Oryctolagus cuniculus: one gene and its partners. The protein of the gene in region 2 purifies or fractionates together with the protein of the main gene of each other region. This does not show direct contact. Links are inferred from orthologs where the notes say so. Each region holds a gene or a part of one and is shown on either strand. Other genes may lie near its edges. The genes, in order: CDC27, ANAPC15, ANAPC2, ANAPC7, ANAPC4, ANAPC1 and CDC26.

The links.
Region 1: the proteins of ANAPC15 (region 2) and CDC27 purify together in Homo sapiens (affinity purification with mass spectrometry; 3 studies listed by BioGRID and IntAct, with this or other methods). This does not show direct contact. The link is inferred for Oryctolagus cuniculus from reciprocal best matches to the Homo sapiens genes ANAPC15 and CDC27.
Region 3: the proteins of ANAPC15 (region 2) and ANAPC2 purify together in Homo sapiens (affinity purification with mass spectrometry; 4 studies listed by BioGRID and IntAct, with this or other methods). This does not show direct contact. The link is inferred for Oryctolagus cuniculus from reciprocal best matches to the Homo sapiens genes ANAPC15 and ANAPC2.
Region 4: the proteins of ANAPC15 (region 2) and ANAPC7 purify together in Homo sapiens (affinity purification with mass spectrometry; 3 studies listed by BioGRID and IntAct, with this or other methods). This does not show direct contact. The link is inferred for Oryctolagus cuniculus from reciprocal best matches to the Homo sapiens genes ANAPC15 and ANAPC7.
Region 5: the proteins of ANAPC15 (region 2) and ANAPC4 purify together in Homo sapiens (affinity purification with mass spectrometry; 10 studies listed by BioGRID and IntAct, with this or other methods). This does not show direct contact. The link is inferred for Oryctolagus cuniculus from reciprocal best matches to the Homo sapiens genes ANAPC15 and ANAPC4.
Region 6: the proteins of ANAPC15 (region 2) and ANAPC1 purify together in Homo sapiens (affinity purification with mass spectrometry; 3 studies listed by BioGRID and IntAct, with this or other methods). This does not show direct contact. The link is inferred for Oryctolagus cuniculus from reciprocal best matches to the Homo sapiens genes ANAPC15 and ANAPC1.
Region 7: the proteins of ANAPC15 (region 2) and CDC26 purify together in Homo sapiens (affinity purification with mass spectrometry; 3 studies listed by BioGRID and IntAct, with this or other methods). This does not show direct contact. The link is inferred for Oryctolagus cuniculus from reciprocal best matches to the Homo sapiens genes ANAPC15 and CDC26.

Annotation. Positions count from the first base shown.
Region 1 is NC_091448.1:17,014,162-17,016,769, reverse strand, and holds part of CDC27 (cell division cycle protein 27 homolog), read right to left. Parts: intron 1,476-2,608; coding exon 1,401-1,475; intron 323-1,400; exon of another isoform or gene 304-322; coding exon 147-303; intron 1-146. UniProt on the Homo sapiens protein: Component of the anaphase promoting complex/cyclosome (APC/C), a cell cycle-regulated E3 ubiquitin ligase that controls progression through mitosis and the G1 phase of the cell cycle.
Region 2 is NC_091432.1:63,593,510-63,597,731, forward strand, and holds the start of ANAPC15 (anaphase-promoting complex subunit 15), read right to left. Parts: upstream 2,801-4,222; 5' UTR 2,654-2,800; intron 2,564-2,653; exon of another isoform or gene 2,478-2,563; intron 2,431-2,477; exon of another isoform or gene 2,322-2,430; intron 1,506-2,321; exon of another isoform or gene 1,421-1,505; intron 1,289-1,420; 5' UTR 1,279-1,288; coding exon 1,159-1,278; intron 647-1,158; coding exon 587-646; intron 273-586; coding exon 127-272; intron 1-126. UniProt on the Homo sapiens protein: Component of the anaphase promoting complex/cyclosome (APC/C), a cell cycle-regulated E3 ubiquitin ligase that controls progression through mitosis and the G1 phase of the cell cycle.
Region 3 is NC_091432.1:237,477,511-237,481,010, forward strand, and holds part of ANAPC2 (anaphase-promoting complex subunit 2), read right to left. Parts: coding exon 3,420-3,500; intron 2,059-3,419; coding exon 1,884-2,058; intron 1,630-1,883; coding exon 1,510-1,629; intron 1,221-1,509; coding exon 1,103-1,220; intron 1-1,102. UniProt on the Homo sapiens protein: Together with the RING-H2 protein ANAPC11, constitutes the catalytic component of the anaphase promoting complex/cyclosome (APC/C), a cell cycle-regulated E3 ubiquitin ligase that controls progression through mitosis and the G1 phase of the cell cycle.
Region 4 is NC_091452.1:8,069,590-8,073,089, forward strand, and holds part of ANAPC7 (anaphase-promoting complex subunit 7), read right to left. Parts: intron 2,381-3,500; coding exon of another isoform or gene 2,341-2,380; intron 464-2,340; coding exon 352-463; intron 1-351. UniProt on the Homo sapiens protein: Component of the anaphase promoting complex/cyclosome (APC/C), a cell cycle-regulated E3 ubiquitin ligase that controls progression through mitosis and the G1 phase of the cell cycle.
Region 5 is NC_091433.1:20,500,248-20,503,747, reverse strand, and holds part of ANAPC4 (anaphase-promoting complex subunit 4), read right to left. Parts: intron 2,977-3,500; coding exon 2,890-2,976; intron 1,871-2,889; coding exon 1,806-1,870; intron 1,129-1,805; coding exon 1,086-1,128; intron 971-1,085; coding exon 894-970; intron 1-893. UniProt on the Homo sapiens protein: Component of the anaphase promoting complex/cyclosome (APC/C), a cell cycle-regulated E3 ubiquitin ligase that controls progression through mitosis and the G1 phase of the cell cycle.
Region 6 is NC_091433.1:113,013,416-113,016,214, reverse strand, and holds part of ANAPC1 (anaphase-promoting complex subunit 1), read left to right. Parts: intron 1-1,282; coding exon 1,283-1,417; intron 1,418-2,799. UniProt on the Homo sapiens protein: Component of the anaphase promoting complex/cyclosome (APC/C), a cell cycle-regulated E3 ubiquitin ligase that controls progression through mitosis and the G1 phase of the cell cycle.
Region 7 is NC_091432.1:216,878,127-216,882,359, forward strand, and holds the start of CDC26 (anaphase-promoting complex subunit CDC26), read right to left. Parts: upstream 2,801-4,233; 5' UTR 2,567-2,800; exon of another isoform or gene 2,114-2,566; intron 808-2,113; 5' UTR 705-807; intron 116-704; 5' UTR 76-115; coding exon 1-75. UniProt on the Homo sapiens protein: Component of the anaphase promoting complex/cyclosome (APC/C), a cell cycle-regulated E3 ubiquitin ligase that controls progression through mitosis and the G1 phase of the cell cycle.

The DNA of each region.
Region 1 (2,608 bases), on a different chromosome or scaffold from region 2:
CATCTGATTATTACCTCACCCTGGTCACCTAAAATTCCACTTGGTATAAAGAAAATAAAACCCCATGGATAGAAAAACAAGCAGTCCACAAATCTTTATGCAAAAAGTAGCTTTCAAATACTCAAAGTCATATGTATGATACTCACTGATCTGTTCTTCTTGAGTTATTGGCTCTTCGTCATCTGGGAGATAGCGTTTATCAATTGCCTCTTTAATCTGGTTATTGGCTCCTTTAGGATCTAAATCCATAGCCCAAGAGAAATTCATCAGGGCGAGGTGTGTCTGACCTAATTTCTTGTAAACCTAAAAATAAACAGCAATACTACATTTTTCATTAAGTTGTGAGCTTCAGCTATAAAATTCTAAACATTTAAAGCTTCAATGGGACTCTTGATTTATGTGCTAACCCCATTCAGACAGGGAAGACATTTACAATCCACAGACGGACTCACGCTGGCTGTGAGCTGCTTCTGAGCGCACTCAGATACCACGTTCAGAATTCCCTGACTACCTTTCAGGTGTGCGTTTCCAAGAATCTCACTCTGACTTGAACACTGACAACGGGAAGAAATGGACTCCAAGCTGCTCGATTAGCAGTCGTTCACACAGTGTGGCGGGCACTTGGGCGGCAGCTGGGAACCTGTGTATGAGGCCTGGCTTCAAGCCCCTGTTCTGCTCCTGATTCCAGCTTCCTGCTAATACAGCCTCTTGGAGGCAGCAGGTGACGGTGTATGTAGCTGGGTTCCTGCCAGCGCACGGAAGACCTGGACTGAGTTCCAGGCTTCTGGTTTCAGCCTGTCCTAACCTCTGGCTGTTGTGCAGGCATTTGGAGAGTGAGCCAACAGATGGACGATCTCTCTCTCTCTCTCTGCCTTTCAAATAATATATTAAAAAAAAAAAGTACATTCACGCTGACTTTAAATATACTTCTATCAACTCAATATCTGCCCACAGTTGTACCAGTTAAATCAATTAGACACTGAGATCCCAGCCTATAAAATAGGAATCTTGGAAGCCATTTCTTCTAATCAAGACAATATTGAGGTATTAACAGTCTTCTTCTGGGGGATTTCTAAGTGTTTTTACTGAGAACTGGAAGCTAAGTGCTTTCCATGTGGTAGTCTCAGTTACAGCCTCATTACTTGCCTTTGGCTGCAAATTGCTAATCTACTTCCAATACCATTTTGGATTAGGATTATGGGTTATGTATTCTTGCTCCTTCATTAGGACATTATCTTCTTAAGATGTCAGAACTAAATCCATTATCTTCAGAGCACTTAGTTCAGAGCTCTCACTGAATTTTCTCAATAGATACTGTACACTAAAGTATTATGTTTATTCTTCAAAAGTTAATATTTGGTATGAAAATCACAGTTTAGGACCATGGCCTCAATCTTTACCTTTCCTATTAAGAAGTAAACAAGGGATTCTTTGGGAACAATTTGCTTCAATTCTTCAAGTTCTTGTAAAGCAGACTGAAAAAGGCAAAGAAAAATTTTAGAGCAGCAAAATTTTACATTTTGATTAAGCAATTATGTTTATTAATTTTCTAAATCATAAAACAAAAGCTTGGTGTTATCTTAATCAATATACTTCATTAATTCTTGTGAAAACAAAATGAAAAACATTTAAGTTACAACAAAAACTAAGAAATGGCAAGCACCCATCAAAATACACTGAAAACCCCCTCCCCACACACAGCCTCTTTTGTGAAACATGAAGGTGGTGACAATCCTTGCTTTTGTCACCATTCTACTTAAAAACAACAACCACCTTATCAGGTTGTGAAAGTGGTTTGAAAACTAAGTTACAGAATAAAGTAGCCTGAAGTTCCATCTGGTCTCCTTGAGTAAGCATTAGGCTTCAAGTATCAACCTACCCAATTTAACTAACAAAGTAAAATATAATCTTTTTTAAAAAAGTTAATGGAGAATGTGTCTTATGGAAAAATTGTGCCTAGATTTCAATTTTTTTGCACCAAAATAAACTTACCTTTTGTTAATTTTAAAACAATTTTTCATGGTTTATTTCAGAAGCAGGGAAAGAGGGAGACAGTGAATGACAGAGAGACAGAGGTCCTAGTCACTGGTCATTGCCCAAAACGCCCACAATCTCTAGGGCTGGGCCAGGAACCGAATTCAGGTCTTCTGTGTATGTGGCAGGGATCCAAGGACTTGCTCATCATCTGCTACCTCCCAGAGTGCACATTACTTGGAAGGTGCCATCAGCAGAGCCAGGACTCAAGCGTAGGCACTCTGATATGGAATGTGGGGTCCCAACGCCACATCTTTTTTTTTTTTTTTTTTTTTTTGACAGGCAGAGTGGACAGTGAGAGAGAGAGAGACAGAGAGAAAGGTCTTCCTTTGCCGTTGGATCACCCTCCAATGGCCGCCGCTGCAGCCGGCGCACCGCGCTGATCCGATGGCAGGAGCCAGGATCCAGGTGCTTTTCCTGGTCTCCCATGGGGTGCAGGGCCCAAGCACCTGGGCCATCCTCCACTGCACTCCCTGGCCATAGCAGAGAGCTGGCCTGGAAGAGGGGCAACCGGGACAGAATCCGGCGCCCCAACCGGGACTAGAACCCGGTGTGCCGGCGCCGCAAGGTGGAG
Region 2 (4,222 bases):
GGGGAGGAGCCTCAGCCAGCCTCAGCCCCAGATCGTGCCCCTGGCTGGATCCAGGGTTTCTGTACCCCTTGGCCATCAGTGAGGTCAGGGGTAGGGGCCCAGGAACAGAGGCCCTTCCCAACACACCTGCCTACCTCATTGACCTCTCCATCATCAGGTGACTCGTTGTAGTCATTCATCTCGTCCATGTCCTGCATGTCCTCATCATCCTCTGAGTCTTCTTCACTGTCCTCATCGTCTTCATCATCTTCTTCTTCCTCATCATCATAGTGCTGGGGGGTGGGGCAGGGGAGCACCTGTAGACCCTACAGGCCAGCCTGGACCCGTTCAAGAGCTGGCCCACTTGAAGCCGCTTTCTGGGGCCAGAATGACCCTCATACTCGCCAACATTACCCCTTTAAGGTTAGCACCTGTTTTGCAAAACCACAGTGCTAGGCCCAAGGCCCATCCCTCTAGTTCCCCTTTCTGTCTCCATCCAGAGCTGAGAATCACAACTGCTCTGGGTCAGAGGCAGGACATTCAGAATTAGAACAGAGCCTTGGTCCACCCCAGGCCCACTCAGGTCTCTCGTGCCGGGGCCACTCACCTCTGAGGCTGGCTTGCCGATAGGTACCAGATTGTTGTCTTTCTCTGCAATGCTTTGGAGCTGGAGGCCAGAGGGGCAGAGCAGGACCAGGGTGCAAGCAGGGCAGGTCAGAGGCATGGGACTGACCCACTCTGCCCCAGAAAAGACGTTCAAGTGTGGGGGAGAAGCTTCCTCCCGGTTCTCGGAAGATGCAGGCCTCTCCCTCCTGTCATCTGCCCCTTTTCTATGAGGTTGATCTGCTACTTCAGCACTCTGGGTCTTTCTTTCCTCCTATAACTATAGTGAGGGTGAACACGCCTCCTGCTAGGTCTGCAATAACTATCAAACGTGTTATTTCCTAAGCCTTAGGGAAGAGAGTTAGGGATGACTGTCAGGAGCCTGGGTTCCAATCTGGCCCAGAAGTCCCATGGTCCTCCCAACAATCAGGTTACCACAAAGACAAGAACCTTGGCCCCCTGGCTCCCAGCCTGACTATTCTCAGCTCAGGGCAAAAAGTTCCTGCAGGGAAGGTCTGCCTTGAGGCCCACTGAGGGGGTGGGGGGCTCTGACTGCTGGGCTAGATCCTCACTCACCCACGCCTGATGCTGCTGTTCCTGCTGCTGCAGCTCTGTCTCCTCCACACAGGGTCGATCCAGATTAAACCACAGTGTCTCAGTCACACGAGGGAAGAGGGAAGGGAACAAGGTGGACATGGCTCCTGGACTGAGGGAGAACGTCAGGTGAATGTCGTTTGTCTTGGCTTGATTCTTATTTGGGAGTAATTTGATTCAGGGATGGGGTGGTGTAGAAAGTAGCAAGGAAGGGCAGCTACTTTCCTCTAGGAATCAGACAGACCTGGGTTTCAGTCCTGGCTCCACCACTTACTAGCTGTTTGACCTTGGCCAAGTCACTTAACCTCTCTGGGCCTCAGTTTCCTCATCTGTAAAATGGGGATAGTAACAATTTTATCACCCTCAAAGTTACTGCGATAATCAAGTACTGCTATCTGTAGGCTGTTCAAGCAGGCAAGAGAATGGGCGCCAAGTGTAGAAACAGGAACCCAGAAGGCACCTTGGCATTATGAAATTATAGCAAACTAGCAGGGATTTACTGAAATAATCACCACTTCTGAGCATTCAAACCGAGAGTACATGCCACACCCACCCGGTTTCAGAAATTTAGGACACTAACCACTTCTGTCACTGACCACAGTCAAATTGGTGGGAGGGGGGAAGGAGGGAGCGTGGGTTACCCCGGGCAAGCAGGGTGCAGTAAGCTGTTCCACAAGGCATGGGTAAGTGAATAGGTAGACAGAAGACTGCATGGCTGAATACGTAAAAGAACAAGGAAAATCAGCTTTGATTACGTAGCTGACAAAGCTAACTGGGAATGCCCCAGAGAATCTTGAACTCAAACCTCTCCACAAACAAACGGGAAAACTGAGACCCAGTGGCAGGCAGAGACTGGCTTTAGGTCACACAGTGAGTCAGGGCTTAGAACGAACGCGCGGAGGGGGTCAGGCCAGACACCGAGGGAGAAGAGCAGGGGGAAAGGGTCGATGTGTAGTCCTGCTCTTGCCCTGATCTGATCGACCCAGGGCCAGCCGCCGCCCCTCCCTAGGCCTCAGCTCCCCAGCCCGTGTAGTAGGTACAGTCCACCCTCGCGCTCAGAACTGACAGGCCAGAGATTTTGGCCCCGAAAGCCCAACCCTCCACCGCGAAGCCACCGCCCCTTCTTTGCTTAAGATGATAATAACCGTAAGGTTGACCAACAGGAGGAAGGCGGGGGCGGGACTCGGACAGGAGTTTGCCCATATAGGGTTGCTAACCGAGAAAGGAGCGGGGTCTGGGTAGAGCCAATTAACTGAAAGAAATGTTGGGTGACAGGAAGTGACACCAATGAATGGACGGACCTGAGTAATGGGGTGGGGCTTAGCCTCGAGGAAGCGGCCAATGAGCTGGAGCTCTATAAGGGTAAAGGAGTCTGGACATGGAGCTCCTGAGGAAGAGGGTTAAAGAACTGAGTTTCTCGGGGGGAAGAAAGGAAGAACGGGCAAGGAGCCGGCCACAGCCTCGCTTCTGTACTTACCGCGCCGGGAAGCGGCAGCCGGCGGCGACCCGGAAGCGCTTCACCCCGCCTGAGCGGAAGGACCCGCCAGAATCCGGGACCCACCAAACGCATGCGTTCTTCGGCTCCTTTTGTTTCCCGCTACCGCCGTCGGCCGGATGTGACGTAGTACACACCTCAGTCACGTACTAGTTGGAGAAGGACACTTGCCGCGCCTACCTTTTGGCCCCGCCTCGAATCCCAGCCATTTGACCTCTCCAGGTTGGCCCCGCCCCAACGGCTGCTTTTAGTCCCGCCCCTCTGCCCCAGGCAATAATTGCTCGCGAACCCCTTGTTGAACAGCGGGCAGCAAGCTGTGTTCGTACGAAAGCTGGTTTGTCGTGGTGCGTCCCAGAGAATTTGATGTGCTTCTACCTCAAAATCGCGGGATGATTTGATTTCCCTCCTGCCCGTCCTTTCTCAGCCTCGGTTTCCTGCTTGAGTCCATTCATTCTTTTGTGTATCCCCGGTGTTCCAGGCTCTGCTAGAAGCTGGGGATGAATCTGCGAACATGCTCGCTTCCCCCAACGCCCTCGCAATCCGGTGGGCAAGCCATCGGCTCCAGACTAAAGTCTGTCTTAGGTCGCCTGCCCCATTCTGACACTGGAGATTATGTGCAGGTTTGAGAGATTAGTCAACCTCAAGCACAGCATTGTACCGCTGGGGAACGGCCCTTCTCAGGCCTGGGGCATGTCCCCTGCAGCCTCTCATCTCTAGCTCATCTGCTTATGCCTCCGTTCTATAGGCCTCAGGCTCAGCCTCCCTTTCAGCATCCTCATGCCTTCTTGCAAGAGGTCCTTCTAAGCCAGCTCCCACGGAGCTGCACCTCCTACCAGCCTCTTTCAGAGCCAGCAGTCATCCGCAGCTCCAGTGCTGTCCAGCCAATGCGTGACCTTTGGCAAAGTCCTTTTCCTCTGCCTAGACTCAGTTCCTTCTCTTTCCAGCCTTCCTGTGACCCTTTGCTAACGTGAAGATTTTCTGTTCAAGAGGTAATGTAGGCTGGGTCACTGTGGTGCAGGGAGTCTGCCACTGCCTGAGACACTTGCATCCTGTATCAGTGCCCGTCGGAGTCCCGGCTGCACCCCTTCCCATCCAGCTCCCTGCTAGTGTGCCTGGGAAGCACTGGATGATGGCCCAAGTACTCGTGTCAGACACCTGGATGTAGTTCCTGTCTCCTGGCTTCAGCCTGGTGGCCATTTTGAGGAGTGAAGCAGCAGATGGAAGATTTTCTCTCTCCCCTCTCTTTTTGTTCTCTGCCCTTCCCATTTTTCTTGCTATCATTTTGCCTTTTGAATTAGCAAATCTTTTAAGAAAGAGATAGTGTACTGTGTATATCAAATGTGATAGGAGTTTGTTAAAATATTTTTCATTAAATATTTAAAATGTGCCTCTTGGAAATATTCACCTTTTCAGTTTAGTCATTGATTCAGCAGATACCTACTGAGTGACTTGGTATATATCCATCACTATTTTAAGTAGTGGATATATAATACTGAACAAAAAAGTCCCTCTCTTCATCCAGTTGTCATTCCAATAAGAGATAAACAATAA
Region 3 (3,500 bases), about 170 Mb from region 2:
GGGGGGCCCAGGTTGCTGCAGGACACAGGGACAGTGGGGGGCCAGGTCACCACAGGAGACAGGGACAGTGGGGGGGGCCGGGTCACTGCAGGACACAGGGACAGTGGGGGGCCGGGTCACTGCAGGGGGACACTGGGACAGTGGGGGGCCGCGTCACCACAGGACACAGGGACAGTGGGGGGCCGGGTCACTGCAGGGGGACACTGGGACAGTGGGGGGCCGCGTCACCACAGGACACAGGGACAGTGTGGGGGCCGGGTCGCTGCAGGGGGACACTGGGACAGTGGGGGGCCGCGTCACCACAGGACACAGGGACAGTGTGGGGGCCGGGTCGCTGCAGGGGGACACTGGGACTGTGGGGGGCCAGGTCACCACAGGACACAGGGACAGTGTGGGGGCCAGGTCGCTGCAGGACACAGGGACAGTGGGGGGCCCGGGTCGCTGCAGGACACAGGGACAGTGGGGAGCCCGGGTCTCTGCAGGACACAGGGACAGTGGGGGGCCCGGGTCTCTGCAGGACACAGGGACAGTGGGGAGCCCGGGTCTCTGCAGGACACAGGGACAGTGTGGGGGCCAGGTCGCTGCAGGACACAGGGACAGTGGGGGGCCCGGGTCGCTGCAGGACACAGGGACAGTGGGGAGCCCGGGTCGCTGCAGGACACTGGGACAGTGGGGGGCCCGGGTCTCTGCAGGACACAGGGACAGTGGGGGCCCGGGTCTCTGCAGGACACAGGGACAGTGGGGGGCCCGGGTCTCTGCAGGACACAGGGACAGTGGAGGGGGGCCCGGGTCACTGCAGGACACAGGGACAGTGGAGGGGGGCCCGGGTCACTGCAGGACACAGGGACAGTGGAGGGGGGCCCGGGTCACTGCAGGACACAGGGACAGTGGGGGGCCCAGGTCGCTGCAGGACACTGGGACAGTGGGGGGCCGCGTCACCACAGGACACTGGGACAGTGGGGGGGCCGAGTCACTGTAGGGGGACACTGGGACCGTGGGGGGCCGGGTCGCTGCAGGACACAGGGACAGTGGGGGGGATAGGAGCCCCGAGGTGCCCGGCGTGAGAAGGCCGGGAGGCCGGCTCCCTGGTGCGGGGCCTCACCTCAGGTAGCGGCGGATGGGCTCACAAGCCACCTCCAGGATGACCATGGAGGGGTCCAGCACACGCAGCGCCTTGATGGCCGAGATGTAGAGAGTGATGATGTCACACGTGTTGACGCCTGCGGGGGTGGGGGCGCGGTCACTCAGAGTCCTGGACAGCAGCCCCCAGGTGCCGGTGCCAACACCCAAGTGGGCAGCCTACGGGTCTCCCCCGGGACCTGTCTCCCTAGGGGACCACAGGGAGCTGACCCCACCCCCACTTCCACCTTCTCACAGGCACTTTCTCCAGAGGCTTCCACGGACCAGGCAGCCTGTTCTGAGGAGCCCCCACCCCAGGCCAGACCAGCTGGGCCCTGCCTTCCTCCAGGAGCGCGCCCGGCCCAGGGGCTGCGCCGGGGCTGAGGGCACCTGGGTGGAGGAGCCGGGCCTCCAGCGCAGCTTTGAGCGACACGAGCAGCTGCTGCCTCTGGTCCGTCCTCTCCAGGCAGTACTTGAGGTCCTCGATGGCCGGCCGGGAGTCTGGGAAATCTGCGGGAAGGGGCCACCTCAGGGCCATGCACACGCACGCACACGCACACGCACACGCACACACGGGCAGGCCGGGAAGGCGCACGCGGCGAGGACACACGGGCTGCGGGCGCTCTGGGGACGGCACCCTTGACGCTCGCACGGGCGGCGTCTCAGCACAGCAACCCCGCGGGGTCACTGCCCACCAGGCCGAAGGGGCAGGGGACAGCGAGCCGGCGGGGTGTGGCCAGGACGTGGGTGGGGGCAGCACCCACCCCGCACGATGCTGAAGAGCTCCTCGATGCGCAGGCTGGCGTAGGTGCGGTAGAAGAACCTCTGCACGTGGCAGCGCCAGCGCCGCAGCGTGTTGCCGGCCTCCGGGGACGCGGGCCGGGCAGGGCCGTCCTGCAGGAACACCTTGCCCAGCCAGCCGACCACCCTCTCGATCCACTGTCGGAGAGCCCCCACGCGTGAGTGGCAGTGAGCCCCAGCCAACCCAGAGGCTGCCCACCCTGCTGGTCAGGCCTCGGCAGGCCCACCTCGCCCCTGCAGGGTGGGCCCCGCCCCCAGCACCTGTTACGCCTCACACCCTGCTGCGCATCAGGGCCCGGCAGGTCCCTGGCAGGCAGGGGCCACAGACTCAGCCGTGGTGACGACCGTGAGTGCCTGCGTATCCACAGCCCCCCATGGGCCCACTCGCCCAGACACCGCCTCAGCCCCAGCCCTCTGCTGTACGGGTGCAGCACACGGCCCCCAGTCCCCTCACCTCCCCAGTCCCCCCCATCCCCTCACCCCCCCAGTCCCCTCCCATACCCCCGTCCCCTCACCCCCCCAGTCCCCTCACCCCCAGTCCCCTGACTCCCCCAGTCCCCCCCCATCCTCCCCATCCCCTCACCCCCCCGGCCCCTCACCTCCCCAGTCCCCTCTCTCCCAGTACCCCCATCCCACCAGTCCCCTCACCCCCCTCACCCCCCCAGTCCCCTGACTCCCCCAGTCCCCCCCATCCCCTCACCCCCCCGTCCCCTCACCCCCCCGGCCCCTCACCCCCCCAGTCCTCCCCATCCCCCCCGTCCCCTCAACCCCCAGTCCCCTGACTCCCCCAGTCCCCCCCCATCCTCCCCATCCCCTCACCCCCCCGGCCCCTCACCTCCCCAGTCCCCTCTCCCCCAGTACCCCCATCCCACCAGTCCCCTCACCCCCCTCACCCCCCCAGTCCCCTGACTCCCCCAGTCCCCCCCATCCCCTCACCCCCCCGTCCCCTCACCCCCCCAGTCCTCCCCATCCCCCCCGTCCCCTCACCCCCCCGGCCCCTCACCTCCCCAGTCCCCTCTCCCCCAGTACCCCCATCCCACCAGTCCCCTCACCCCCCTCACCCCCCCAGTCCCCTGACTCCCCCAGTCCCCCCCATCCCCTCACCCCCCCGTCCCCTCACCCCCCCGTCCCCTCACCCCCCGGTCCACACTGCCGGCCGGCCTGCACCCCGCCCCTGGCCCCTCATCCCCCCCCCCCCGGTCCATGCTGCCGGCCGGCCTGCACCCCGCCCCCGGCCCCTCATCCCCCCGTCCACACTGCCGCCGGCCTGCACCCCGCCCCTGGCCCCTCACCCCCCGTCCACACTGCCGCCGGCCTGCACCCCGCCCCCGTCCCCCCCCCCCCCGTCCACACTGCCGCCGGCCTGCACCCCGCCCCTGGCCCCTCACCCCCCGTCCACACTGCCGCCGGCCTGCACCCCGCCCCCGGCCCCTCACCCCCCGTCCACACTGCCGCCGGCCTGCACCCCGCCCCTGGCGCCAGCGTGGCGGGGAGGTCACCTTGTGGAACTCGCGCAGGAAGGAGCGCTCGTACTCGCCCCTGCAGCGGTCCTCCATGCGCTCCCGCGTCACCTGGTGCAG
Region 4 (3,500 bases), on a different chromosome or scaffold from region 2:
GGCACAGGGGTTAAAGAGCTGCCTTGGGTGTCCATATCCTGGACTTGAGTCCTGGCTCCACTCTGATTTCCGCTTTCTGCCTCTGCACAACATGGGAGACAGCAGCGGATGGTTCAAGTAGCTGGGTCCCCGCCTCCCCCGTGAGATGTGTGGATTGAGTTTCCAGCTCCCAGGCATTTTAGGGAGTGAACCAGTGGATGGCAGCTCGCTCTCTCTCAAATAAGGTAAACTTTTAAGAAACAAATCAAAATTAAAAAAATAAATAAAGCTATGTAACGATATGGCCAAGATGGAGAACTACTAGCCTGCACATCAGGCCCTCCATGAACGCAGGTAGAGAATGATCTATACCTAGAATGGCATCCAGGGCTAAAGGGCACTGCCGCAGCACCTCCTTATAGCTGGTGACTGAAGGGCGCTCCTGACCAGCCTTCTTGTACAAATTTGCCAGCATCATGTTTATCTGTATAAAAAAATAAAATAAAGGACAGCAAGTTACATGCATAGTGCCATGAAAAAGTCCTGTTTTTTACTACCAGATACTCTACTGTTTTTTTTACTGGACAACCTACCACAGCCTTCTACAAATAAACAAAGAACAAGCCCATTCATCAAAATGAAGAAGAAACTACTACACTTTCTTTTCCTAGGTACTCCCATCTCTAAGAGGAAAGTCTCATTACCCTCTCACTTACCTAACCAAGAGGCCCAGTATTACCCTGGCCAAAGATGCTGCCTCTGGAAACAAGAACTGCATTCATTTGAGGAATGTCCTAGAATTCTAGTTACCATGATTCTTTTTTGATCTTAAGATAGAGGATGAACTACCCCAAACTGCTAAATTCTGTACATTTTAAATTGAATTACTATTAAGGGATAAGAAAATGAGGACCTGTTAACATAGCTAGTTAAGAAGAATCAGACACATTCTCCCCAGAGGAAATGACAGATAGAGAGGTGTGATACTTGGCTTCTCCCTGACAATGAGACCAATGGCTGGACTCTACCCTAACACTTAAAGCTCTGACATGTGGGTACTATCTGACTCACCAAAGTAACACTATAAAAACCAGATTCAAACTGACCTCCAGAGGCGATCCATGATTAGATATATGATTTAAATCCAGAGTGCAGACATCTGTTTTTTGGCACAATTTAAGTAGATAACTTTGGGGCCAGCATTGTGGTGCAGCAGGTTCAACTACGACTTGTGAGGCTAGCAGCTCACACAGTCCAAGTGCTTGGGTCTCCACCCATGTGGGAGACCAGATGGAGCTCCTAGCTCCTGGCCTTGGCATGGCCCAGGTCTGACTGGCAGCCACTTGAGGAGTGAACCAGCAGATGGAAGATCAGTCTGTTTCTCTCTCATTCTTAGTCTTTTTCTCTGTCACTCTGCCTTTCAAATAAATACATACTTACAAAAATAGACAGATACATATTTAGTAAAACTATATCAATGCTAATTCTCTGTAAAAACCACAGCAGGAAGAATTTGAGGAAATCTCAAAGTTCCAAAGAATGTAGAAGTTACAGAGAAGGGATAAATGATCTCACTAGTGCAAAGAGAAGACAATGTTCCAATTTTAAATTAATAGATCTTAAATATAGAAAGTGTTTGGCAGATCATTAACTGAAGGAAGCAGTCAACATGAGGGCACAAAAGAAAAAAAAAGTCAACCGCAATCTCTTCAGTTATCTGTGGTTCTGCATGCCAGACATTTCCTCAAGGGGTAAACACTCTGAGGATTAAGAACATCTCTTCTCATCAGAGACCTGCATTAGATTAAACAATCCAGTACAGAACTAATCCACACTAATTCAAACAGTAAAGTAATGAAATACTAGAAACAGAAGATTTTCACTTGGCCTCAGATTTTCCATTTTAGGCTATTTTGAAAATGCAAAGGAAGGTACTTAAAGGAAAACTCCAGTATCGGTGTCAATATTAAAAAAAAAAAAAAAGTTGAATTTAAGATCGTTTCTTGACTACTTGTTATTAAAAAGCTATGACAGATGGACCGGATGTTTGAACATCAGAATTTCCTTTAAGCTACTTGACCATCACTGAAAGAATGAGTTCTGAGTACTACTTAGTGAAAAAATCAATTTTCTTAAAAGGTAATTGTTATCTGGGACCATCATAAAGCCACATTTCACCAGCTATAAACTCAAGCAGTCATCATTTTCCAAAAACTAAGTGAGACATTGTACGTTTACTCTTGAAAATTTACCAAGATACAATAATCTTAACACTGGAATTTTCCTTTAACTTATGAGGGAATGTGTGGCGGTGTTTACCATACATTAACAGATGTTCAATTAGACGTATTTTTGACTCACTTCCTTGTCCTTTACACAGACTGAGAAGCCAGTTAACTCCCTAACAGACAAGAAAGAAAAACTGTAAATATTTTAGGTTTATGTTTGAGGCACACATCTTTGTTTGCTCCTGACTACAAGAGTTCAACTGAGAGAAGAATCTGCCCTCCTAACACACAGACTCCTCGAGCCCCTCCTGAAGTGATGGCTGTAGACATTAAGAACTGGGTACCACAAAGCTGAGCTGCTTTGCCAGTAACCCACTTTCTAAAAATGTCCTTCCAAAGCTGGCAAGTCACTGAGGAAACCATGGCACATTTCTAGTGAGACAAGCAACAGTTCATTCAAAATTATCAAAATGGCTTCTTCCAAAAGGAAGACATCTTGAGCATAGGAACAGACACAAAAATTCTGAGGGTAAGAAAAGACTTTTAGACGTTACAACAACACAATTTACTATACAGGACCCAAATACAGTTCCAAGTATTTTTATTAGCAGTAACCTTCATAAATTAGATGGAAGAAATAACTTAAATTTTAAAAACTTAGAAAATAGTAAATAATTCCTTAATACAAGGAAGTCTAAAAACACAGTTCTCAAGAAGTTCTGCTATTTTTAAAATTCAGCAACACTTGAATAAAGCAGCAGTAACTAAAATGCCCCAGATCCCCCTTGCTTAGATTCCTTGCCTTGTAAGGGCAGGAGGATGAACACAAACATCTTACCTGGAAAATTCCTTATTGCTAAGCACAAGCGCCACAGAACAGTTTTTCAATAAAATAAGAAGGGCAGGAGATATGAGTATATGTTAGAGTATTAAATATTGATATGAATTTGAACCTATGAGTAGATTCTCACTGTTCTTCTAAAATGGATTAAAAAAAAAAAAAACTGATGCCCAATATATTATGCCAGGCACTGTGGTGCAGCGGGTTATGCCACCCCTTCGGTCACGCACATCTCATACTGGAGTGCCTGGGTTGGAGTCCCAACTACTCTGTCCAACCTGGGAGGCAGCAGATGGCCCAAGTATTTGAGATCCTCCCACCCACACTGGAAACAGATGGAGTTCCTGACTCCTGGCTTCATCCTACCCAGACCTAGATGTTGCAGGTATTTGGGGGGTAAACCAGAGGATGAAGGATCTGTCACTCTATCTTTCAAATAAAGAAAGCTTTAA
Region 5 (3,500 bases), on a different chromosome or scaffold from region 2:
ACAGTGGGGACATGGATCCGAGCTGAGGGCCGAAGTGGGTAAGTGGAGAGCAGGGTGGAGCGTGCCAGGCAGGAGATGGCAAAGGCCCTGCGCGGGAGACAAAACATCGAGTCTGGGAAACTAAATGGCACTAGCGTAGGCAAAGCAGGGCGCTAGGTAGGCTACAGGCCATGCAAAGATCTTGGAGTAAGACAGTAACACAATTAAATCCACTCAGGAACCTACACCCGAGGCACTCAGTGTGGGCTGCAAAACAGCAGTCCAGAGGATGCTCGCTGATCCTCGGGAGATGAGATGTGGCTAGGGAGAGGTACTAAGCATACAGGGATTCTGCAAAATTTAACCCGAACACTCAGCACCCACTTGCAAACTGCTTCACTCAAGTTGCTGTGCATGGAAACAGCGTGAGACTTGAAGTTCTAGGACCAAATCCCAGTTCTGACACTGAGTAATTTTGGGCCAGCCACATAACACATCCTAAATATAAGTTTGCAGTTTCCACTGTGGAAAATGAGGATAATCCTAACAAACAGCCCGCAAAGGTGTTAAATCAAAAAGTACACAGTAGGCTTTAGAAACTGTAAAATACATGGAAACACTTAACTTCACTGCTCACACGAAGGTTGATGTCCAATTCCAATTCTCACCTGAGTGAGAAAAAGACCCAGATGGGGTCTAGACTCATGAAAAGACTTCAAAAATTACTTCATAAAGCAGAATTACTATAACTGATTCTCAATCTTGGGTTCCCCAAGATTCCCCTCAAATGCCAATGTAGTAACTTTAGATGGAAAAGGCTAGAGCATTGCCAAATGATGAAGAGAAGGCCACAGGAAGACCAATGCCATGTACATCTGGGTGCAATACCAAGAAATTCTACATCACCTCCATACCTCTGTAAGTGACTTATAACCAACTTCTGTATACTGGAATATGATGATTCGATAGACTGGCCAAGCTTTTTTAAGCCCTAATTAAGAGAAGAAAATATATTTAGCATTGAACCTGGATACCACATGCCATTCAAAATAAAACAAAATTTAGTGTGTTCATAGCCATTAAATATGTAGATACTTAAACTGTACCTTTACTGTTAACTGGTTCATTAAGAGAGTCTGCAGTTCAGCACTACAATGAAAAAGAAAGCATTCTTAATCACTTCTCTATTCAAAATCTGAATCCATCATTTAAAACTTTTGAATTTCATAGTACAAACAAGATTTTGAAATAAAAAGAAACAGCCTAACAAAAAGTTAAGACTGTTGTACTCACAATGGAACAGATGAAAAACTGGCAACACAAAGTTCAGAAACAGATTGAAATCTATTGGATACACTTGTGCTAACACAGCATTTCAAAACCATAGGGAGAAGTGAGCAGACTCAATAAATCAAACTAGATTTATCTGAATACTTAGGGGAAAAAAGTTAGCTTTCTAGGGCATACAACCAAGTAAATCTAGACTATGTAAATGGAATAAAACAGAAGAAAATACAGATCAACCTCTGAAAGCCCTTACAACAGGAAAGTCTTTTTAAGAGTAACAGCAGGTGCCATAAAGAAAGGTTGGCTTGGCTACATAAAAAGTTTAACCTTTCATATATATTAAAAAATACACACAAACAAAATGTGTGATCACATTTACATTTTTAAAAGTACACAGGAAAGCCTTGAAAGACATACTTTTGTTTGGTAATGTTCTAGAATTTTCTATGTGTGAAGCGGTGCGTACAGGTTTCTTTGGCATCATCTCCATTTACCAAACAGGAGGAGGGGAAGCAGAGCACCCAACCCGAGCTCATTACCTTGCTTTCCCCCACAGCAGCAGGTGCATGAATTCATCCTGCACTGATGTGGTCGTGTTCTTTTCCTAGACAAAACAGTTAACTGTGATACATGTTTTTGCAACTATAAGCACATTTATTTCAAATTAGAGGAACATGACTCTCTCTACCTCAACTTGCCTCAGATTCAGAACTGAAACTGACCACGTGGACATTAGTGCCAGGAGACAGCCAGCTGGCTTCTCCAATACCGTCCTCATCCCCTCACCCTACCTCGGCCACATCAGTGGGCTCCTGTGCACAGGCTCGGTGCTCCGGACGGCAGTGCTGAGGGGTGGACTCTAAGATGTGAGGCCTAGTGGGAGGTGGCTAGGGGGCTGCCAGGGCTGCCAGGGCACGGCCCCCTGAAGGGACTAAGGTAACGCTCGTGGGACTGTGTTTAGCTCCCCCAGGCCTGAGTCTGACGGAAGGGGACGCCTGACGCCCGCGCTCCCAGTCCCACTGCAGAATCCCTCTGGCACACGCTGCAGCTGTGACGCTGGCTGCCACGAGCCTCCCCTGACAGAGGCGGAAGCAATGGGGCTGTCCAATCTTGGACTCAGCCTGCAAAACTGAGGGCGACGCAGACCTCTTCTCTCTAGACATTACTCAGCCTCAGGCATTCTGTTACAGCGGTGGCAGAATGACTAATACAGAGCCCTTTCGGCAAAGCTCTGAGAAAGCAGTGAGGTCAGACCAAGCCATCTGAAAAAAACTAACGAGCTTAGCTGTTTGCAAATCAAAGCAATTTTTCTCATGTATTGCATAAAGTGAACACAGATGCCATGAATGCCTTTACATATTTATTTATTTGAGAGGCAAACAGAGAGAGCAAGCTCCTAGCCACTAACATGTCTGCAACGGCTGGGGCTGGGTTAAGAACAAAGCCAGGAGCCAGGAACCCAACTATATGAGCCATTGGTGCTGCCTCCCAGGTCCACGTTAGCAGGAAGCTGAGTCAGGAGCTGGAGGCGGGCACCAAATCCAGGCACTGCTGTGTGTGTCTCACCCCGGGCCAGACGCCCTAAGCACTCTAACTCTCCCATAGAAACTTAACGGGCATTACCTGCACAAACTTAGTGAGACGAGAATCCATCTGCATGAGGATCTCTTCCCATGCTTCACACATACACGTCAGCGACAAATTTATATACTGTTAAAAGAGTGTCAATGAAAAACATTTAAACTAGCACGCTCACTAGACAATATGTGCTTCTTATTGTCAAATGTTTCAGAGAAATCCAGAATTTACTTTCAATTACGCTTTTAACTCAGTTAAGCCTAAGAAGAGAAGATGATAGATAACATTTCCTAATTACTTAACTTTAAAGCACATGATGATTCTTTCAGCTTTCACAATAAAACATTCTTAAATTAGGTTCGTGCCTGGTAAAACAAATATCCTAAGCTTTCCCAGGCCATAGCAGAGAGTGGGATTGGAAGTGGAGTAGCCGGGACTCAAACCAGCAGGTGTATGGGATGCGGGCACTACAGGCGGCGACTTTACCAGCTACGCCACAGCCCCGGCTCTGGGATAGTATGTTTCATGCACACTGACTGTCAAAATGTTGCTCTGCCAGCTAATCAGTTTTCAACGACAGCCCTTAAAAAGACTCTCTTGACTTCTGAGAATGAACAACATGGCCACGATTCACTGTAGCTCCTCCTTCCAGATGC
Region 6 (2,799 bases), on a different chromosome or scaffold from region 2:
TCTTAAGTTTTTACCTCAAGAAGCTAGAAAAAGAAAAGGAAAGTAAACCCAAAGTAAGCAAGTACGAGCAGAGTTTTTGAAACTGAAAAACACTAGGGCCAAGTCAGTGAAACGAAAACCTGGCAGGCGAGGGAAAGCCATTGGAGGGGAGATGGGAACCACTGTGCTTGCCCTTCTTAATAGGCTGTTAAAGGATCTCTTCTCGTCTCCTTTAATTTCTCTTCTTCTACTGCTCCCCCAAATCCCAAGTGTTTCTTTTTCTTTTTTTCCTTTCTTCTTTTTCTTTTCTTTTCTTTTTTTTTTTTTTAAGATTTACTTATTTATTTGAAAATCGGCTACACACAGAGAGATCTTTCATCCACTAGTTCACTCCCCAAATAACTGTAACAGCCAGGGCTGGGCTGATCCAAAGCCAGGAGCTTCTTCCAGGTCTCCCTCATGAGTGCAGGGAGGGGCCCATGGACTTGAACCATCCTCTGCTGCTTTCTCAGGCCATAGCAGAGAATTGGATTGGAAGTGGAGCAGCCAGGGCTCAAACCATGGCCATATGGGATGCCAGCACTACAGGCGGTGGCTTTACCTGCTACCCCACAGTGCCCCCCCCCCCCCAAAGTGTTTCTACCTCCCAGGAGACTAACTTCCTCACAGTTGTGTTCAGTGGACTTTACAGCTCACTCCATCTACCATGTTGAGGTTTCCCTCAGCTGATCACTGTGTCAGGGAAATGAGATTGCCTTGATTGCCTACAGCAGTGGTTCTCAGTGGTTCCTGGTTCGGCAGCAACATCGCAGGGGGACTTGCTTTAGAAATGCAGTGTTTCTAGTCCCACCCCAGAGCTAGTGAGTCAGAAATTGTGGGGTTGGGGCCTGCCTGTGTGTTCCTAAGTCCTCTCAGTGGCTCTGGTGGACAGTGAAGTTTGAGATCTAGTCTTGGAGCTGAGGTCAGCCCCTCAAATGTCACACAGTGGAGGGAAGGGTGGTAACAAGTTGTCTGGGAGATCACCACAGTGACTGCTACCTCTTGATGACACTCAGCATTTGTAGTTACACATTTGTTTGTGTCCTTATTTATGTCATCTTTCTCTCCTCCAGAACAGGCCAGACTCTGCAGTAACAGGTACTTAGTCTAGTTTGCTGCAGTAGCCTCAATACACAGCATAGTACCTGGTTGATATATGACAAGTGCTCAGAAATTCTTGATGGAAGAGTAATAAGATTCAGGTATCCCTGGGCCTCTTGTTCCGCTGTCAGTTGCTTCCATTGAATTTGTGTTTCTTCCACAGCCGGGGGTGACATGTGTGTGCACGCCTACCTCAGTGGGCAGCCCTTCGAGGAATCTCAGCTGAGCATGCTGGCCTGCTTCCTCGTCTACCACTCGGTGCCTGCTCCGCGCCACCTGCCGTCTGTGGCACTAGAAGGTACTTGCATAACTAAAGCTTCTTTTCAGGACCTCCATTACCAACAGCCTTAGGTTTTTACTTTCTTGGTAGGAAAAGTTTCCATTGAGTTATGTTCTCTAGCTCGTCATTAATGATTCATTGGCATCGATGAGAGTTTTTTCTGGAAAAAAAGAACCTGTCAACTTTACACATGTGTAAACTTTCATTTATAGTCACCCAAGGATGGATTCTTCATGGAACCCCAAACACTGGTCTGCACCATTAGACTAGATGTTCATATTATCCTCTGTTAATCCATTTTTTAAAAGATTTATGGATTTATTTGAAAGGCAGAGTTACAGAGAGATGGGGAGAGAGAGAGAGAGCTTCCATCTGGTGATTCACTCCCCAGATAGCGGCAATATCCAGGAGCCTGGAACTCCATCCGTGTCTCCTAGGCACGTTAGCATGGAGCTGGATCAGAAGTAGAATAACTAGGACTCAAACCCGTGCTCATATGGGGTCCCAGCATCGCATCACAGGCAGGTGTAACCCACTGTGCCACAGTGCTGGCACTTATTCCTTTTTAAACTAAACTTCAATTTTCAATTTTTTTTTCTTTGTAAGATCCTGTCTTTATTTATTTTATTTGCAAGATAGAGACAGACAAAAAGAGCTCCTATGTGCTGGTTTACTCCCCAAATGCCCTCAGTAAAGCCAGGAGCCTGGAACTCAATCCAGGTCCCCCATGTGGGTGGTAGGAACCCAGTCAACTTGAGCCATTACTGCTGTATCGCAGGTCTGCATTAGTGGGAAGCGGAAGTCAGGAATCAGAGCAGGAATTGAATCCAGTCACTCTGATGTGGGATGTGAATGTCATAAGTGGCATCTAAGCTGCTAGCCAAATGCCCATCCTGACTTTACCATATATATCTGTGTGTGTGTGTGTGTGTGTGTGTGTGAAATCTTAAATCCTAAAATTATAAAGCTTTAAATGAACAAGTGCTTAATATTGTATGTGTTTGACTTTTTTCATAAGAGGATTTAAAAATTAATAATGTTGGCCGGTGCTGCGGCTCACTTGGCTAATCCTCTGCCTGTGGCGCCAGCACCCTGGGTTCTAGACCCGGTTGGGGCACTGGATTCTGTCCCGGTTGCTCCTCTTCCAGGCCAGCTCCCTGCTGTGGCCCGGGAGTGCAGTGGAGGATGGCCCAGGTCCTTGGGCCCTGCACCCCATGGGAGACCAGGAGAAGCACCTGGCTCCTGGCTTCGGATCAGTGAAGCACACCGGCCTTAGCGGCCACTTGGGGGGCAAACCAAAGGAAAAGGAAGACCTTTCTCTCTGTCTCTCTCACTGTCTAACTGCCTGTCAAAAAAAAAAAATAATAATAATGTTAGCATTTAGCTGTTTTTTAGAATAC
Region 7 (4,233 bases), about 150 Mb from region 2:
GTCCTTTCGAATGCTCTCAAACTCTTCAATGTCATCAAGCTTGAGCTCCAAGCGCGTGGGTTTCCGTCGCAGCATACTGAAATCTACACTGAGAGCAGATCCAATCAACTATGAGCTATTAAAAATGACACAGAGAAAAACTGGAGGTGATACGTTGCAGTTACATACATAAGGCCAATTTCTACACATGTACACTAAAGTGAAGGCAATAGCAAAATCAAACTTGGATTCACACATAGATCTCTTTCTTTTTTTGAAAGGCAGAGTGACAAAGAGATGGAGAGGCACAGAGAGACAGAGATCTCTCATCCACCATAGTTCACTACTCCCATGGCCACAGTGTCTCTGGATGAGCCGGGCCAAAGCCAGGAGTCAGGAGTTCCATTGTTGTTTCCCAAGTGGGTGGCAGGGGTTCACACACACCGGCCATTATCTGGTGCTTTCCCAGGCACATTAGAAGGGAGCTGGACTGGAAGCAGAGCAGCCAAGACTCTGATATGGGATGCCATATTGCAAGATGTGGTTTACCTTCCGTGCCACAATGCCAGCCCCACACATAGATTTCTTAAGGCTTTAGGTGTATGCTTCTTACATTTGTATTTCATGATGGAGATCCACAACGCGGTGATTCAAAAACCTCTTTCTGAAAAAACTGAACACCAGCAAGCTGCCTATAAGAAAATTCTAGGCAAAACTGAACTCACCAATTCACAAGATTCTCTTCAGTGTCTCAATCAACCAGACAGATCATTCATTAGCAAAGACTTCTTGTGCTCCGGCTACAAAATTAAAAGGTACAGACACAACCTGTGGGAGAAACAGACACGTGAGGGGAAAATTAACAGCGAGGGGAGCAAGAACACTGATGAGAATACAATGGCAGCCATGCTGGCCCGAAAGCTGGACTAGGTGTGGGGTGGTGGCCAGGGATGTTAAACACGGCCTATGGCAGGAAATGATGTCTAAATGGAGTCTTAGTCGACATCTAAAGAGCAGGCAGAGAGAACAAGTGCACAAAGAAGCTCAAGAGAACAGTCTGAGTCAAGACAATACTTTTAACAAAAACCCTTTCTTTGAGCAAACAGAACTCCCCATCACGTTTAGTATCTGTTGAGGGGCACCTTCATGGCACCCAACAGAGTCTGTGTATGTACATTAGGCAGTCAGTAAACGTTCCCTGAATATAGGAAACAACTAAAGTAAAATGAACTTGAGTGAGCACTGGGCTAATTTTTCCATCACCATTCTTCACTTGCTTATTTTAATACGAAAACCCTGTGAGGCTGGCAAGATCGTCCTATTTTACAGAGAAAGAAGTCAAAGCAAGCTGTCCAGTCTGGCCTCCTGTAGGAGTCACACATAGGACCGTGGGGTGAGGATTAAATGAGACTGATGTAAATGAACGCCACTGGCTGTACCCAGGATGAAACCGGGGACTGAGAAGTGCATAAAAGAAGAAACATTTCCTCCTCCTCCCATGAAGCCTGAGACAGACACGCAGTGGTAACACAAAACATTACTTTTTTTTTTTTTTTTTTTTTTTTTTGCGGCTCACTAGGCTAATCCTCCACCTTGCGGCACCGGCACACCGGGTTCTAGTCCCGGTCGGGGCGCCGGATTCTGTCCCGGTTGCCCCTCTTCCAGGACAAAACATTACATTTCAATTTGCTTTGACTTAAATCTGATACTGTCCACCAGATTCCAATGCCGACAAGCAGCAGAGGAAAACGAAGTTCCAAATGGGGTGAGGAAGGGATACTGAGAAGATCGCTATGCATTTTAACTTTTCTGCGAAAACGAAAAGCCCACCACCACCACTAGGAAGCAGGGTAGAGACCCGGCTGAAGTGCTGGCTCCGATCCCTTTAAGTTTCCGATCTTTGTCTCGCACCAGACCTTCCTTGCCTCTATACTCTGTTGCTGTCTGAATTGAATGGCGTAATGCCGATTAAGCTCCTGGCTACACAACTGTGGTATTCAGTAAACGCTCAATAAATAACAGGCACTTATGACTGCAGTTGTTGGGGGCGGGGGGCGGAAGAGATAACGATGGGGGAGGGGGGTGTTCCAGCTCTGCAAACACGAACATTTTGAGTCTCCCACCCACTACATGCCTTGTTCATCGCTGATGCCCCCGCACCCAGAGGAGCACAGGGCTATGCAGGAGAGTCGGCTGCGGTCTACCCGACGCCTTCCTAGCCATCATCTCACTCAGTCTGACACAAAGACCCGGCTGAAGACGAAACAAAAGCAACAGCAAAACCGGGCCGAAGCTTCGCCCGCTCTTTACTTCACTTAGACGCTAGAGGGCTCTTTGAGCTTCATCTCTCACCGCTGCCCAAATCCACCGCAAACTGAGCCAGCTCGGCCGGAGCCCCCGGCCCCGGGAGGACTTTCCTCCCCACCCCCACCCCGACAACCCTCCTCGCCCAGCCCCAGGACCACACTCAGCGGTCCGGGCGATGGTTTCCATGGCAACATGGGCCTCCGCCCCGGGACGACGTAAAGTCTCTAGGAGCCCTCGGTAAGCTCCAGAGTTCAGCGCCCGGCCGCGCGACTTGACTCACCTTCCTCTCTCTCCAAGCCCGCTCAGCCCCTTCCCGGAAGGAACCTCAGCTCCCACCACGAATCTACTGCGAGCCCAACTGGACTACACTTCCCAGAGTGCTTCGCGCCCCTCTCCCCTCCAGAACCTCGTCTCCCGCGAGCTTTTCTCGGAGGTTCTAAGGGTCATGCCCCTCCACGCGACCAGAATAGTAACTACTACGACTCCCATGATGCTCCGCGCCGCTCAGGGCGCTGCGTCGGCGCCCGACTTCACTTCCGGTCCGTGACGTAGTTCCGCTTTGCTGGGCGCGCGGTGGATGGTCTGAAACGGAGAGCTTGGCTTTTTCTGGGGCTTGGCTGCTGCGGAGCCCAGCATGGCTTCGTCACGAGCGTCCTCCACGGTACGGAGCTCGGGATCTCAGTTCACTGCGGCAGGGAGCGCCGAGAGGGTGGGGGTCCCTCGGGGAAGGGTCCGTTAGGGAGCGGGCTGACAGGGTGGAGGGCTGCCGGACTCGGTCCTGCCCTCCAGAGCAGAGCAGCATTCCCCGGACCCTTGAGCGAGTGTATGTGCTGTTACTCGTATGCACCTGTCCCACCGCAGCCCCGAACGGCAAACACCACTTCCGACTGGTCCAAACCAGGGCTCCGGAGTGGGCGAGTGTCTTGGCCACGGTGGCTGTCTATAGGAGACCTCGGAATTGGGATGAGGCCTCCCGGCTCCTGCTCTGCTACCACAGGTCTCAAAACGCTTGAGATGGACCGAGCAGGAGCGTTGTCACTGGCTACCCCTCCCTCGGCACCACGCCGGTTCTTTTACCTTACCCTTGGTGTTTCCCCCCGTGTTAAACGGTAACCCTGGAAGTATCACGAAACCCAAAAAGAGCTTGCACTTCCAACAGAATGAAGTGATCGTCTTCCAGAGGCAGAACCACCCGGAGAACCGGGTTTAATCCACCTCTTCAAGCTGTCAAACTGGAAGTGATTGAAGGGCTGACGTGCCCTCCCGCCCCCATCCCCACACCCGCGGGTCCGTGAAGCGCATCTTCCCTGGCGCCCAGTTTGGCCTTTTGTTGGGGGAGGTCAGGATGAACTTCACCCTTTAGGGAAGCCTCGTGGATTGCTAAGATCGAGCCTTGAATTAATCGAAGCCTTCGGTCTAGCAGGCCACCAAAACGAAAGCGCCTGATGACCTGGTGGCTCCGGTGGTGAAGAAGCCACACATTTATTATGGAAGTCTGGAAGAGAAGGAAAGGGAGCGGCTGGCCAAAGGAGAATCTGGGATTTTGGGAAAAGAAGGACTTAAAGCAGGAATTGAAGCAGGAAATATTAATATAACCTCCGGTAAGATGACAGATTTCAGTCCATCTTTACCTTTACCTCCAGTTTTCTGTAATGCGTGCCTTCCTCAGCTTAGATAGCTGTAGTTTTATGTTACAAGTTTTCAATTTTTAAACTTGAATCTATAGACTCATATTTTGCTTACACTACCTAGCATCATCCAGGAGCCTTTTTTTTTTTTTTACAGAATTTTTTTTTTTTTTTTTTTTTGGACAGCCAGAGTGGACAGTGAGAGAGAGAGACAGAGAGAAAGGTCTTCCTTTGCCGTTGGTTCACCCTCCAATGGCCGCTGCGGCCAGCGCACCACGCTGATCTGAAGGCAGGAGCCAGGTGCTTCTCCTGGTCTCCC